3 linked regions of the Oryctolagus cuniculus genome follow. The protein of the gene in region 1 purifies or fractionates together with the protein of each later gene. This does not show direct contact. Links are inferred from orthologs where the notes say so. Each region holds a gene or a part of one and is shown in the gene's direction. Other genes may lie near its edges.

Region 1 (4,530 bases):
CCCAAGCACTTGGGCCATCCTCCACTGCACTCCCTGGCCACAGCAGAGAGCTGGCCTGGAAGAGGGGCAACTGGGACACAATCCGGCGCCCCGACTGGGACCAGAACCCGGTGTGCCGGCACCGCAAGGCGGAGGATTAGCCTAGTGAGCTGCGGCACTGGCTTATGTTTGTTTTGATCTAAATATTTTTTTACTTCTAAATGATTTCACCTTTAGAGTTACAAGGAGGTTTAAGTTTCCAAACATTTGGAGTGTCTTTGGCTCTTGCCTGTGGTCGAAGAATACGGCCTGTGTGAGATTCACTATTTGCTATCCGTTAATGAGATTTGTTTTGGTCACTTTTTGTAGATGTCTCTTATATGATTCAAAGAACCATGCTGCGATAAAGGTCCTTTCAGCATCTCTGACCAGCATTAGTCATTGTATTAATATCTTCTAAATCCTTTGGGCGTTCAGTTTATTGGTTACTGTAAGAGGTATTTAAAGATTTATTTATTTATTTGAAAGTCAGAGTTACACATCTTCCATTTGCTGGTTCACTCCACAAATGGCTGCAATGGCAGGGCCTGGGCCAGGCTGAAGCCAGGAGCCAGGACCTCCTTCAAGGTCTCCCACATGGGTGCAGGGGTCCCAGGTCATTAGCAGGGAGCTGGATAGGAAGTAGAGCAGCCAGGACTCAAGCTGTGCCCATACAGTATGCCTGGGCTGCAGGCAGTGGCTTAACCCACAATGCCACAGTGCCAGCCCCGTGAAAGAGGTCTTAAAACTCTGCCTACAGGGGCCAGTGTGTGTCATAGCAGGTTAAGCCACCACCACCTACAACACCAGCATCCCACAGAGGTACTGGTTGTTGTCCCAGCTGCTCCATTTCCAATCCGTTTCCCTGCTAATGTGCCTGAAAAAGCAGCAAAAGATGGCTCAAGTGCTTGGCTCCTGCACCCTCATGGGAGACCCAGAAGAAGCTCCTGGCTTCAGCCCAGCCTAGCCCCAGCCACTGCAGCCACTGGGGGAGTGAATCAACAGATGGAAGATCTCTCTCCTATAACTCTGCCTTTCAAATAAACAAATCGCAAAACAACTCCCACTGCAATGGCAGAATTGGCAGTTCCTCCTATTAGTCTGTCATTTTTTTAAAAAAATATTTTATTTATTTATTTATTTTAGAGGTAGAGATTCAGACATTGAGAGGGAGAGACAGAGAGAAAGGTCTTCCATCTGCTGGTTCACTCACTCCCCCAGTGGGTGCAACAGTCAGGAGCCAGGACCTTCATCCAGGTCTCCCACTTGGGTGCAGGGGCCCAAGCACTTGGGCCATTTCTACTGCTTTCCCAAGCTTACTAGCAGGGAGCTGGACTGGAAGTGGGGCAGCCAGGACCTGACCAGGTGTCCATATAGAAAGCCAGCACCGCAGGCCAGGGCTTTACCCACTGTGCCACAACATGGACCCCCCATCTCCCAAACTCTTGAAATCACAGCTTATCAGTATTTTTCCTTTAGAGGTTAGAAGGTACTATTACATCTTTCTCAACTTTGTACACTTAGTGCCGAGAAGTTGGCTGTTGGCATAACGTTTTAAAGTGAATCCATCCTGGCCGGCGCCGCGGCTCACTAGGCTAATCCTCCACCTGCGGCGCCGGAACACCGGGTTCTAGTCCCGGTCGGGGCGCCGGATTCTGTCCCGGTTGCCCCTCTTCCAGGCCAGTTCTCTGCTGTGGCCAGGGAGTGCAGTGGAGGATGGCCCAAGTGCTTGGGCCCTGCACCCCATGGGAGACCAGGAGAAGCACCTGGCTCCTGCCTTCGGTGCCACGGTGGCCATTGGAGGGTGAACCAACGGCAAAGGAAAATCTTTCTCTCTGTCTCTCTCACTGTCCACTCTGCCTGTCAAAAAATAAAGAAAGAAGTGAATCCATCCTTTTGTGGTAGCTTTTAAGATCCAGCTTTTGGAGTTCTGAAATTCACTGCAAAGCTGTCTCGGTGCTGACTTTTTAGCTCGGCTTGCTCCAGGGTAGTCCCCCCCTCCCCCCCGATTTATTTATTTATTTGAAAGGCGGAGAGAAGAGGAGAGGGAGGGAAAAGAGAGGGGAGAGAGGGGAAGAGAAAAAGAAAGAAAAGTCTTCCATCCGCTGGTTCACTCCCCAGATGGCTGCAACGGCCAGAGCTGTGCCTATCTGAAGCCAGGAGCCAGGAGCTTCTTCCGGGTCTCCCACGTGGGTGCAGGGGCCCAAGGACTTGGGCCATCTTCCACTGCTTTCCCAGGCCATAGCAGAGAGCTGGATCAGAAGAGCAGCAGCCGGGACATGAACCAGGGCCCATATGGGATGGCGGCACTGCAGGAGGCAGCTTTATGCGCTGGCCCCCGGTCCAGGTTTTCCGTGGGAGCCGTGGTCTTGAGCAGCGTAGGGGGACCCGCCCCTGCTCTCCGCTGCCCTGCTCGGCCGGACCTCGGGTGCTCCCTGCCCCTCTGCCACGGGCCCCCGCTGTCCTCCACCACGGCCTCTGGGTGTTCTGGGCCCCCTCCAGCTCCGCGATGTTCTCTTCTGCTGTCTAACCTGCTTCCTTACCTCATCGTCTGAGGCCTGCGTTTGCACGGCTCGGTTTTTGAACTCTAGAATCCTTCCTCAGACCCAGGCATTGCTCCCCGGCGCCGTGCTTTCCTGGCGTTTAACCGCCCCGTCCCCTGAGCCTGGCTGTTCTCCTACCCCAGGCCTCCCGCGGGCCCCGCAGCGCCGAGGGGACGGGCCGTCCAGGGCGCGAGATGCGGGCGAGGCCGCGCCTTCCCTCAGCCGCCTCACTCCCACCTCGGTCTAAACCGGAGAGGAGCCGCGCGGGCCGTGATGTCACCGAACTGTGACGCGCCCCAGCGCACACAGACCCCAGCCCCTCCGCGTCTCTGCAGAGAATCCAGGCCCGCGGCGCCGTGACGTCATGGTCTGGGCGGGCGGCTTTTGCGTCGGGCCAATGGGAGCGACGCGCCGGCCTCCCCTTTAAGGAATGTTGTGACCTGACGTCACCGGAGCGAGTTACCTCCCGCCGCCGCTGCCGCCGCGTTCAGCGCGAGCCCCGGAGCCCTTGAGCGCGAGGCGCGGAGTCCCCGGAGACCCCGGATCACAGTCCCCGGATCACAGTCCCTTCCTCGAGCCGCGCGCCCCGGAGTCCCGGCTGCGCGCCCCACCGGGCCCGCGCGATGCCCTCAGACAGGCCTTTCAAGCAGCGGCGAAGCTTTGGTGAGGCCTGGCGGGCGATCCGGGGACAGGGGGTGGGAGATCCCTGGGGGGCAACCGACCCCCCAGTGCCGCAGGTGACGTCAGCCCCATGACGTCAGGCTCCGGCCTACCGGGTCTGTGAGGCCGCTCTGGCCTGGGCTGGGGCTACCCGCCTCCCCACCGTGTCCCCAGTCTGGGGCCGAGAGGCCGGACGGCTGGGGGCGGGGGCGGGGCGGGGCCGGGAGCCGCCCCTCGGAGACCGGCGGGCGGAGCCGCAGGGAGGACCTCAGGCCGGCCGGTCTCACCGCCCCGCCGCTGTCCGCTGTCCGCAGCCGACCGTTGTAAGGAGGTGCAGCAGATTCGTGACCAGCACCCCAGCAAGATCCCGGTGAGTCCCTCGGCCCCGGCCCGGCCCGGCCCCGCCCCCAGCCCTGGCTCATTTGTGGTCCACCTGCCCGCTCCCAGGTGATCATCGAGCGCTACAAGGGTGAGAAGCAGCTGCCAGTCCTGGACAAAACCAAGTTCCTGGTCCCGGATCACGTCAACATGAGCGAACTGGTTAAAATCATCCGGTGCGCAGGCAGCAGCTGCCCGAGGGGCTTGGGTCGGGTCTCCTGGAGGAGTGGAGTGAGGTCAGGGGCGTAGGCCTGGCCTTGGGCCTGCGTGCTGGGGAGCTGGGAAAAGCCAAGGCCCGAGCTTGAGTCCTTGTGGGGTGGGAGGTGAGGGCCTCTGGCAGGGAGCAGGGCCACCCTCCCTCACCACGGGTTTGCCCTTCCTGCCTGCCCCAGGCGCCGCCTGCAGCTGAACCCCACGCAGGCCTTCTTCCTGCTGGTGAACCAGCACAGCATGGTGAGCGTGTCCACGCCCATCGCCGACATCTACGAGCAGGAGAAAGACGAGGATGGCTTCCTCTACATGGTCTACGCCTCCCAGGAAACCTTCGGCTTCTGAGCCAGCAGTAGGGGGGAATTGGCCTGGGAGTGGGGGACCTGGTCAAGCTCTCCCCAGGGAGCGCCTGGCTCCTGAACTGAGCTGCCCCTGGTGGGCTGGGCAGGCATGTGGGCCCCTAGCCAGAGGGGCCCAAACAGCCCCCTCTGCTCCTCAGTGGATCTTGGGCCAGTCACATTAGGGTTGCCCCTCTGGGTGCTGGTTGGGATGGGGAGGGTGGAGAGCTGCCCCCAGCACCCCTGCTCTGTGTGGTTTGTTTTTTTTAGGCCCCTGCCTGTCTGCCCCTCATCCTCCTGAGGCTCTGTCCCCTGCCTGGACCTGTCCACCCCTGAAAGACTGGCCCCTGGCTCCCCCACCTCCACACGTGTATGGATCTGTG
Region 2 (4,583 bases), on another chromosome or scaffold:
AAACGTAAGTGTACTTTTCAGTAGATATTCCACACCAAATATCTGAGTTACAATCAATTGCTTTTAGGATTCTAAATGTACTTACAATTACATGGTTTGTATGAAAATGCAAGACATTTACTAATAATTAAATATTGGTGGCCCATTCATAATATAGCTCTTGTATCTCAGACTGAGATTGAAAATGTAACCTGATTAAGCATCTGCAGTACTGTAATAAAACAATAACTCCTTTAGAATTTTTTAGAATTTGTCTCTTTCCAAAAAGGGTTTGAAGCAGCTACAATGAGACTGCTATTCAAATGCTGCAGAATCAAGTATCTGGCTTAATACAAGAGGAAAATTTTCAAGCATAGGAAGCCCCTCTTACAACATGGTGGCAAAGGCTTATTCTTTGCAGAACGATTTCTGGCTGCCCTGTTACCTGCCAGATTCTAGCCTCAGCATGGGAGGCAGTATTTTGGGAAAAGCACGAAAGCAACTGAAATGATTAAGCACATTTCTCACTCTAGGCAAAAACTGCTTCACACACAAAAAATTCCGCACCCGATAGGGCTGTGTGTTCCTTAATCGAAAAGGGCACAACAAATAATTATCGTGGACTTGAGTATTTTTCTCAAGGTCTTTCTGAGGGGGGAAAAATCGCATCTCTTTAAAGATGGAAAGCACGGGACTAAACTCTTCTTTATTGTACTGGGGCTGAACTGTTGCAGCTTAGACTTCGGTTGTCAGTCGATAATGAATGCCGCAGATACCTTAAAGCTGTCAGAAGACACGGTGCTCGGGCTTCCAAGCGCTCCTGTCCCCCTCTGCTAACCTGCCAGGCAAGGGCGAGGCGATCGCTCCGAGAGACGCGGCTAACACTTAATCCTCGTCCTCCGGGGAGGACCTTCAGGTTTTACCGACCACTCGGGGCGGAATTAGCTAAATCTTTGAGACGAAGTATTTGCCGTGGCTACAATGTCCTGCTCCAGTTCTGCTCGAACCCTTCAGGGTTATGTATGAGAACGCAAATTCTCTAGCACCACATACACGGAGTAGTAAGCTAGGCCGATCCGAGTCCGCCAAAATGTCCGCAGAAGTGGCGAGAACAGGCGAGCCTGAGGCATCTCACACTCGGCCCTCACTGTCCTTGGGCCTAAGGAACACCTGACGCGAGCGCCGCTTCCAGTCAGGAGTGCGCGCCTCGGGGTCGCCCCCCGTCAGCAGGCAGCGCGCAAGGGCGGCGAGGGCTTCCGACGCGGCCTCTGCGCCCCCTCCCCGGGCGGGGAGCAGCCGCCCACCGCCTCAAGGCGGGCGGGGGAGGCGGGCTGCAGCCAGCTGCCGGCGAGCGCAGCGGCGGCGCCGTTTCGCCGAGTCACCGGGCGGGCGGGCGGCTGGTCCCGTGTGCCCACGCCACGTCCTCTCCGCCAGGGACGCGGTCCAAACAGGGGACGCAGGGGCAAAGAAACGGCAGCCGCCGCGCCTCAAGGTGGCCCAACGGGCACCTCACTCCCAGGAGACGCCGCATTCTCCTAGAACTTGCGCCCCATTCTGGCAGCGTCAGCCGACCCTTCCCTACCAGCATCACGTGCACCTGGAAGTACGTGGGTGGGACCCAAAGCGCCTACGGAAATGACGTAGGTCGCCCCGAGTCGCATGATGTGGCAAAATGCAAAAAAAAAAAAAAAGGAAGGGGGGGAGGGAAAAGCAGAAGCCTGGAGAAAGTGATGAGTCTAGAAAAGTAGTCCCTGCTGTTCCTCTATTTCCCCGGTGTCGCATCAGGAAGCGAGGCCCCCAGCGCACTGCGCCCCGAATCCCTGCGCCTGGCCGCGGCGCGGCGCTCCGTGGAGGGGTACATAAGGCGGAGGGGGGGTGAGGCGACGGGGCGGAGTTTTGTCGCCGGGATCCTTCCGCAGGGCTCAGCCGTTTCCGGAGTCTGCGCTGCGCCCGGTTCCGCCATTGCGGCTCTCCTGGCCCCTGGAGCCTCCGCCCCCGACCCGAGCTCTCTCGTCTGCCTGCCAGTTTCCTGCGTCCCCGGAGAGTATCCTGCCGAGCCCAGCCTCCCCCCTCCCCTTCTCCTCCTCTCCCTTCGGAGAGCCCGGGCAGCCACTGCCCCGAAGCCCCAGTGACAGGAGGAGACTCTACCCCCCGACAGCGCCATGGCCCAGATTCTTCCAATTCGTTTTCAGGAGCATCTCCAGGTGCGGCTAGATCTGGGCTGCTGCGGGCTGTGGTGACGGTGGTAGGAAGGAAGAAGCTACGGTCTGGGCCGGAGCAGGAAGGGAGGGGTGTCGGTGTTTGGCGTAGGTGGAGGAAGGGGCGCTATCTTGGAAAGCTTAAAGGGTTAAAGGATATGGGGCTTGGGTGGAAAGGACGAGAGTTGGGGTGTAAAGGCCGGCAAGCCAGGCCTGACTCTGAGGGCCTTTCTGTCTTGCTTCCTGGAAGGCAAGAACTGCGCGTGTTATCCCCCCTCCCCTTCCCGTTTTATTCAGTTCATTCATTTGGATAGGGGAGTGGGAGAGGGGAATTCTCCCGAGTTTCTTCCGGCCGGAGCAAGCATTCTCATCATCCCCTGGGCCAGTGCAGGGCTGTCACCCTCCACTGCCCATCTCTTCCCTTTCCCCCCATCGTGTCTGCACCCGGGAGTTGCGGGGCGGGTGAGTTGGGGAGGAGCAACCTTTTTTTCTTCCTCCCTCTGCGGCTCTCAACTGAGAAAGGCACCTTTCCGGGGGCGGGGGGTGGGGGTGGCGGCCGTGGCTTGTCCCTTGCCTTCCCCGAGGCAGTAGGAACAGAAGGTCACTGAAGGAATAGAATGGGGGGACGCAGTTTTCAGGGCGCGGTCAGTCTTAGAGTGCGTGGGGTCAAGGTCCCTGGGGAACTCGCTTGGTTTTCCTTTCTTGATTTCTTTGGGGGTGGTGTGGCTCTTAAATCCTTTTGAGTTCAGAACGTAGCAAAGTGTTACCTAGAGGTTATCTGGGGGGGGGGGGGTCCTCAGGAGTCCATCCGGTGGTTGTGAAATGTGTGGCTTGAGTGCCTCCGACAGGATCGCATGGAATGGAACAGAGGCCCGGGGTTAAGGACACACCTGCCCTGAGTTGGTCTGTAACTCGTTTCTTCTTGGTAGATTCTAGAGTTCTTCCGTAAGTGCCTTACCCTGGAGGCAACATTCTTACGGTTGTCTCTTTGGGCAGCTTGCCAATGGCTAGCCTAGGCAGGTGATCATTGAAGGGCTTCGCTGAATTAGGCCTCTTTTTGAGCTTCTGATGTCCCTGGTTCACCAATCCTGGATTCTCATCAGGAATAATAAATTAACTTGGTTTCTTCCCGTATGTCCCCTTAAAGAAGCCTGCCCCAGGGCCATCTACGGCAGGACTCACTTCCTAATCCGAGGATGCAGTGGTTTAAAATGAGACTGGTTCTGGTAACCTATGGGATACTTTTCCACGCAAGGAAGTTTTATGTACTTTCCCCCATTGGTGTAACAAAAGAAAGAGTCTTGTCAATAGAACAGTTAATATTCAGGCTACGAGTAAAATAATTACATATTTCTTTACAGGCATCACATTTGCTTGCACTAGCAAGACATTATTTTCCTTTAAGGTTTGAAATGTAAAGAATGCTAAATCTTTAACCCATTAAGTAAGTTAAGTAGTACAGCTTTGTTCAGTCACCCAAAACTCATGTAAAGTAATGGAATATACCTTGGCTATAAAAACAGTTTTATGAAAGGTTAACACATGTTAGGTGTGACAGAACGGGCTTGGAAAAAGTTATTTTTTGTGCTCCATCCAAGTTTAATTACTGTGATTACCTCTGTTAAAAAAGGGGTGGTAAATGAGTGTGGAGGATTAGGAAAGTACTGTTCTTGCATGAGAAGGGGAAACCCAGGCTCTTCCTCGCACTAAAGTACATCTGAAATATCTTTCTGCAGACAAATGTTTGTAATGATAACCCAAGAGAAGCTGGTGTGGCTGCTGTTTATTTTACATGGCACAGCTATAGCCCACTGGTAAATCTTGCTGACCAGTGGTGGTTTGAGTAATCACTTTTCATTTCCATTAAAGAGGAGAGGATTGTTGAGTGATCCTCAAAATTGAATCCAACTGTGTCATTGATTGAAGACAGATTTGATACAGGTGTGGTTTTGAGGTTCTGTTAATACTTGAGTGAAGCCATTTTCTTAATAATTTGAAGATTTTAAGTACAAAGCAGCTTAAGAAGTATAATTGAAAAATTCTATTACTCATTTTTTTGGAGTTCTGTATCATGCTCAAACTTAAGCTTAGCTAATATGACTGTAGACTCCAGTTGATAGTGATTAATTGCACAGAGTTCAAATTACTAAATTTTAATAATATAGCTCTTCATATTTTTATTCCTTCCCTTTTTAAAATAAGGGCTATTTTTTGATTTTTTATTTGAAAGGCAGATTTTCAGAGAGAGCTTTCATCCGCTGGTTCACACCCCAAATGGCCACAAATGCCAAAGTTGTCAGAAGCCGGTTTTTTTTTTTTCTTTTTGACAGGCAGAGTGGACAGTGAGAGAGACAGAGAGAAAGGTCTTCCTTTTTGCCGTTGGTTCACCCCACAGTGGCCGCTGCG
Region 3 (4,334 bases), on another chromosome or scaffold:
GGTGAACAGTGGGCCTCACAAGGCCATCAAGAATGGGGAAAATGGCGAAATTAAGACCCCTGGCTGAAAACGACCCCCATTGTCCTGGTATCCTACCTGGCCCCCACGGGCTGGGCTCTCCCCCGCCCTGGCCACCTAGCTGGGACTGCTGATGTGACTGTCACAGCTCCAAAGCATTCTCCCCAGAGGCCCGCCGACTTCCAAGTGGAGCCACCCTGCTCCGTCCGTAGTTAGCAGGAGCTCCCGAGAGCCGGGCACTTAGGGGACAGCCGGTGACCTGGCTGCTTTGTTAGCGGAAGGGGCATTCCTGCAGCTTCTGTCCAGCACGGCCCCGGCTTCCCCTGGCCCCTGCCCTCCACAGCCCCTGGGTGCTCACTGAGGGATTAACAATAGCAGCAGCAGCCAGAGGACGCCTCGACCATGGTGGTGGTGGGGGGCGGGGGGCTGCTAGGCTGTCCGTTCTGTCCCCTCTCGGGCTTATCAGTGGTCCACAAGCAATGCTTGTGCTGGAATGGGCTTGGGCGGAAGTCATGGGCCACCGATGTCACAAGCTGATTAAAGCCACCAGGGGTCACGCCCCAGGGGGCACACTCAGACTTTTCCCTGCTCCCTCTCCGTTATGACACTGCAGAGCACCTACGGGCTGCAGGCTGAGAGATCCCCACGTGGCCCGCAGCCGGTGAGGGTGACGGGGACAGGTGCTGCCCAGCCCAGTGCACACAGGGGGTGCCCCGTCTGGGCCCAGCAGCCCCATCCCAGAGGCAGCGCCTGGCTGAGTGTGGAGCACATCCCAGTGGCTGTCCACTTCAGTGTCCTCAGCCTTGAAAACCGGAAGGAGAGGACTAGGGGCGGATGTCCCATGCTGATGGTGTTGCATGACAATCTGAAATCTGAGGCTCTGAGACACTCTCAAGGTTCCCCTGTACGCTTCTGTCAACAACAACAAACGGCCCTGGCTGGCGCACGGAACAACCAGGCTCTGGGGAAGGGGATCCCGGCGCCCGGCCAGCACACACCTGCCCATGGCACCGCCGAGGACACATCCTCGCTTGCCTATGTGCACTTGTCCGGGTCGGACCCCGGACTCAATTCACCTTGCACGGCCCCCGGACACTCTCGGAACCGAGTTCACTCTCCCACGCACGCACACCTGCTCTGGAGGGGCCGGCCCAGGGGGTCCCAGTCCACTTTCCCGCGCACTCCCTCGAAGCCAAGGCCACCTTGGCGCGCAACTGCCCCGGGCACCCAGCCGGCCACAGCGCCAACGCTCTCCAGGCCCGGGACGAGGAGGAGGGTGCGGGCGGCGCCGGCCAGAGCAGCGGCGCCCCGGACTACTTTTCGCGGACCCTCCGGACGGGCGGAGGGATCCTCATAGGGCGCGCGCGGAGGGATCCGCATAGGGCGCGCGCTCGGGGGGCGCGGTGCCGGCGACCCGGGACAGTGCGCCTGCGCCGCCGCCGCCGCCACCGCCGCCGCCGCCGGTCTGTCCGCGCGAGGGGAGCCGCCACCGCCTCGGCCCGGCGCCCACCATGGCGCAGATCCTCCCCATCCGCTTCCAGGAGCACTTCCAGGTGAGGTCGGGCCCCGACGCCGCGGCCGGGCGGGCTCCGGGGGGTGGGTCGCGCGCTGGGTCCTGTCAGCCGCGCCCCCCGGCCGGCCGGCCGGCTGACCGCCCGGGGGGCAGGCCTCTGGTCTCACGGCCCCGCGCCCCTCGCCCTGCGGTGCCGCTGGCCCCCCGCCGCAAGCCGCGGGCGGACACCTGGGTCGGGGTCCGGCTCGGGAGCCGCGCGTGCGGACGCTTTCGGGGCGCTGTCGCTCGGCGGCTCGGCGGGGGGCGCCCGGCGTCCGGAGCGCTGGGAGAGCTCGGGGGTGGGCACCGCACCGCACGCCTTGGAAACTCCGAGTCCAGCTTCCATTCTCTTCTCTGTGTCTTGCGACCCTCACCGCTGAGTTTCCGTCTGTGGATCTGTCCCGGTCCCCCCTGGTGGCTGGTGGGGCAAGACAGTCAAATCCGTCTCGGATGCGTAGGATCGGCGTTTGTTATTGCCTGTCAGTTAGCATCCCTGGTATCCAAGTACAGGTGCTTTCGTTAGGACCCTCGAGTATGGCACCTGCTAACACACCGGTGCTGTAACACCCGCGAGGTTTTGCTCTGCCGTGAGGTCCCCATTTGCTCTGCCCAGCAGATTCGTGCTGGAAGGGGGGTGGTTCAGGAAGGTGGGCGCACCTGTGAAAAGGTGTCCGCTTACAGGGGGAGGGGTTGAGGCTGCCGAGGCCCTAGCTGAGGGCTACGTGCTAAGTGCTTCCTTTGAAATCATCACAGTCCCCTAGGGTACTGGATGAGGAAGCGCCGGGGGCACCAATGTTCATTCAGCAAACCGAGAGCGGGATTCAGACTTCAGACTTCGGGCTTCTTGGCTACACAGCTGTGGCAGCTGCCAGGAATGGGGTTGATGGAGAGGTGGTACTTGGGAGTTTCAGGGGGACCGGTCCGGCCCCCTCTGTCTGTGCCTTGGAAGGGATGCCCGGATGATCCTGCCCAGATCAGTTGGGGAGTCAGCCGGTTGAGGTCGCACAGGGTGGGGGTGGAAGCCTTGAACCTCCATCTCTCTCCCTAAGCTGGGGCAGCGCCAGTCAGGCGAGGTAGCAGAGTACCTGTTGATAAAACGAGGGTACTTCGGAGAGTTCATTGGCAGTGGCATTACAAGAAGTTTGGGGCGGGCATTTAGCCCTGCAGCTGAGAAGCGCGCATCACGGATCTAGACGATGTGGGTTTGGCTCCGGCTCCCCGCTCCCGGCTCTCGCCTCCCGCCTCCCGGGAATGCATCCCCAGGGGGCAGCAGTGACGCCCCAAGTAATGGAGCTCCTGCCACCCAGGAGGGAGTCTTGCATTGAGTTCCTGGTTTCCATCTTTGGCCCCAGGCAGCCTGGACCATTGTGGGCATTTGGGGAGTGAACCAGTGGATGGGAGTTTTTTTCTCTCTGTCTCTTTCGAGAACCTAAAAAAGAAAAAAAAAATTTTTTTAAAGAGGTGAGTTTATTTTGACACAAGAAAAGGCTTTGAAATCCATGCAGTTTTTTTTTTGTACTATATATTTTTACTGAACTTTTTGTTGCATGGGTTTCAAATTTTTTTTTTTATCAAAATAAGCTTCCCTTTTTATTCTGTTTTCCACAAACTTTTTGAAGTCCCCTCATACTTACCATTTATTGGGCCATTTGTCTTTTTAAAATGTGTGTGTGTGTGTATTTATTTATTTATTTGAAAGAGTTACAGAGAAAGAGAGGTTTTCCGTCTGCTGGTTTACCCCTCCAGTGGCGGCAGTGGTCTGCTGGGGCTGGGCCAGACTGGAGCCTGGAGCCAGGAGCCAGGAGCTTCTCCTGGGTCTCCCACATGGGTGCAGGGGCCCAAGGGCTTGGACCATCCTCTGCTTTCCCAGCACATTAGCGTGGAGCTGGATCAGAAGTGGAACAGCCAGGACTCGAGCTTGATGTCCATATGGGATGCTGATGTCTCAGCCAGCAACCTTACCTACTATGCCAAACCCAGCCCCAAGAGAGAGAAGTCGGCCGGCGCCGCGGCTCACTAGGCTAATCCTCCGCCTAGCGGCGCCGGCACACCGGGTTCTAGTCCCGGTTGGGGCGCCGGATTCTGTCCCGGTTGCCCCTCTTCCAGGCCAGCTCTCTGCTGTGGCCAGGGGGTGCAGTGGAGGATGGCCCAGGTGCTTGGGCCCTGCACCCCATAGGAGACCAGGAGAAGCACCTGGCTCCTGGCTCCTGCCATCGGATCAGCGCGGTGCGCCGGCCGCAGCGCGCCGGCTGCGGCGGCCATTGGAGGGTGAACCAACGGCAAAGGAAGACCTTTCTCTCTGTCTCTCTCTCTCTCACTGTCCACTCTGCCTGTCAAAAAAAAAAAAAAGAGAGAGAGAAGTCTTCCATGTGCTGGTTCACTCCCCGTTTGTCCACAATGGCCGGAGCTGTGCCTATCCAAACTCAGGAGCCAGGAGCTTCTTTCAGGTCTCCCACACAGGTGCAGGGGCCCAAGGACTTTAGCAGGGAGCTGAATTGGAAGTGGAGCAGCTGGGTCTTGGGATGCCATCACTGCAGGCAACGGCTTTACCTGCCAAGCCCCAGGCCCAGCCCCAAGAATGGGGCCTTCTTAACCCCCAGGCTCAGTGTCTGACTTGAGCCCTTTCTTTTGGACTGGATATATTAGAGATCTCTTTTCACTGAATCTTCCTAGGAACTGATGATAATCTCGTTTTTACCATAGTTGACTCAGGTGATTTCAGAGTCAGTGACAGCTCAGATCCCACCCAAGTCTCTGCTTCCAT

What was found.
Region 2: the proteins of MAP1LC3A (region 1) and CLTC purify together in Homo sapiens (affinity purification with mass spectrometry; 3 studies listed by BioGRID and IntAct, with this or other methods). This does not show direct contact. The link is inferred for Oryctolagus cuniculus from reciprocal best matches to the Homo sapiens genes MAP1LC3A and CLTC.
Region 3: the proteins of MAP1LC3A (region 1) and CLTCL1 purify together in Homo sapiens (affinity purification with mass spectrometry; 3 studies listed by BioGRID and IntAct, with this or other methods). This does not show direct contact. The link is inferred for Oryctolagus cuniculus from reciprocal best matches to the Homo sapiens genes MAP1LC3A and CLTCL1.

The regions. Positions count from the first base shown.
Region 1 is NC_091442.1:23,538,385-23,542,914, reverse strand, and holds the start of MAP1LC3A (microtubule-associated proteins 1A/1B light chain 3A), read left to right. Parts: upstream 1-1,595; 5' UTR 1,596-3,184; coding exon 3,185-3,224; intron 3,225-3,535; coding exon 3,536-3,591; intron 3,592-3,668; coding exon 3,669-3,775; intron 3,776-3,991; coding exon 3,992-4,154; 3' UTR 4,155-4,161; exon of another isoform or gene 4,162-4,417; 3' UTR 4,418-4,530. UniProt on the Homo sapiens protein: Ubiquitin-like modifier involved in formation of autophagosomal vacuoles (autophagosomes). While LC3s are involved in elongation of the phagophore membrane, the GABARAP/GATE-16 subfamily is essential for a later stage in autophagosome maturation.
Region 2 is NC_091448.1:34,909,795-34,914,377, forward strand, and holds the start of CLTC (clathrin heavy chain 1), read left to right. Parts: upstream 1-1,669; 5' UTR 1,670-2,141; coding exon 2,142-2,183; intron 2,184-4,583. UniProt on the Homo sapiens protein: Clathrin is the major protein of the polyhedral coat of coated pits and vesicles. Two different adapter protein complexes link the clathrin lattice either to the plasma membrane or to the trans-Golgi network.
Region 3 is NC_091452.1:27,070,934-27,075,267, reverse strand, and holds the start of CLTCL1 (clathrin heavy chain 2), read left to right. Parts: upstream 1-1,420; 5' UTR 1,421-1,529; coding exon 1,530-1,571; intron 1,572-4,334. UniProt on the Homo sapiens protein: Clathrin is the major protein of the polyhedral coat of coated pits and vesicles. Two different adapter protein complexes link the clathrin lattice either to the plasma membrane or to the trans-Golgi network.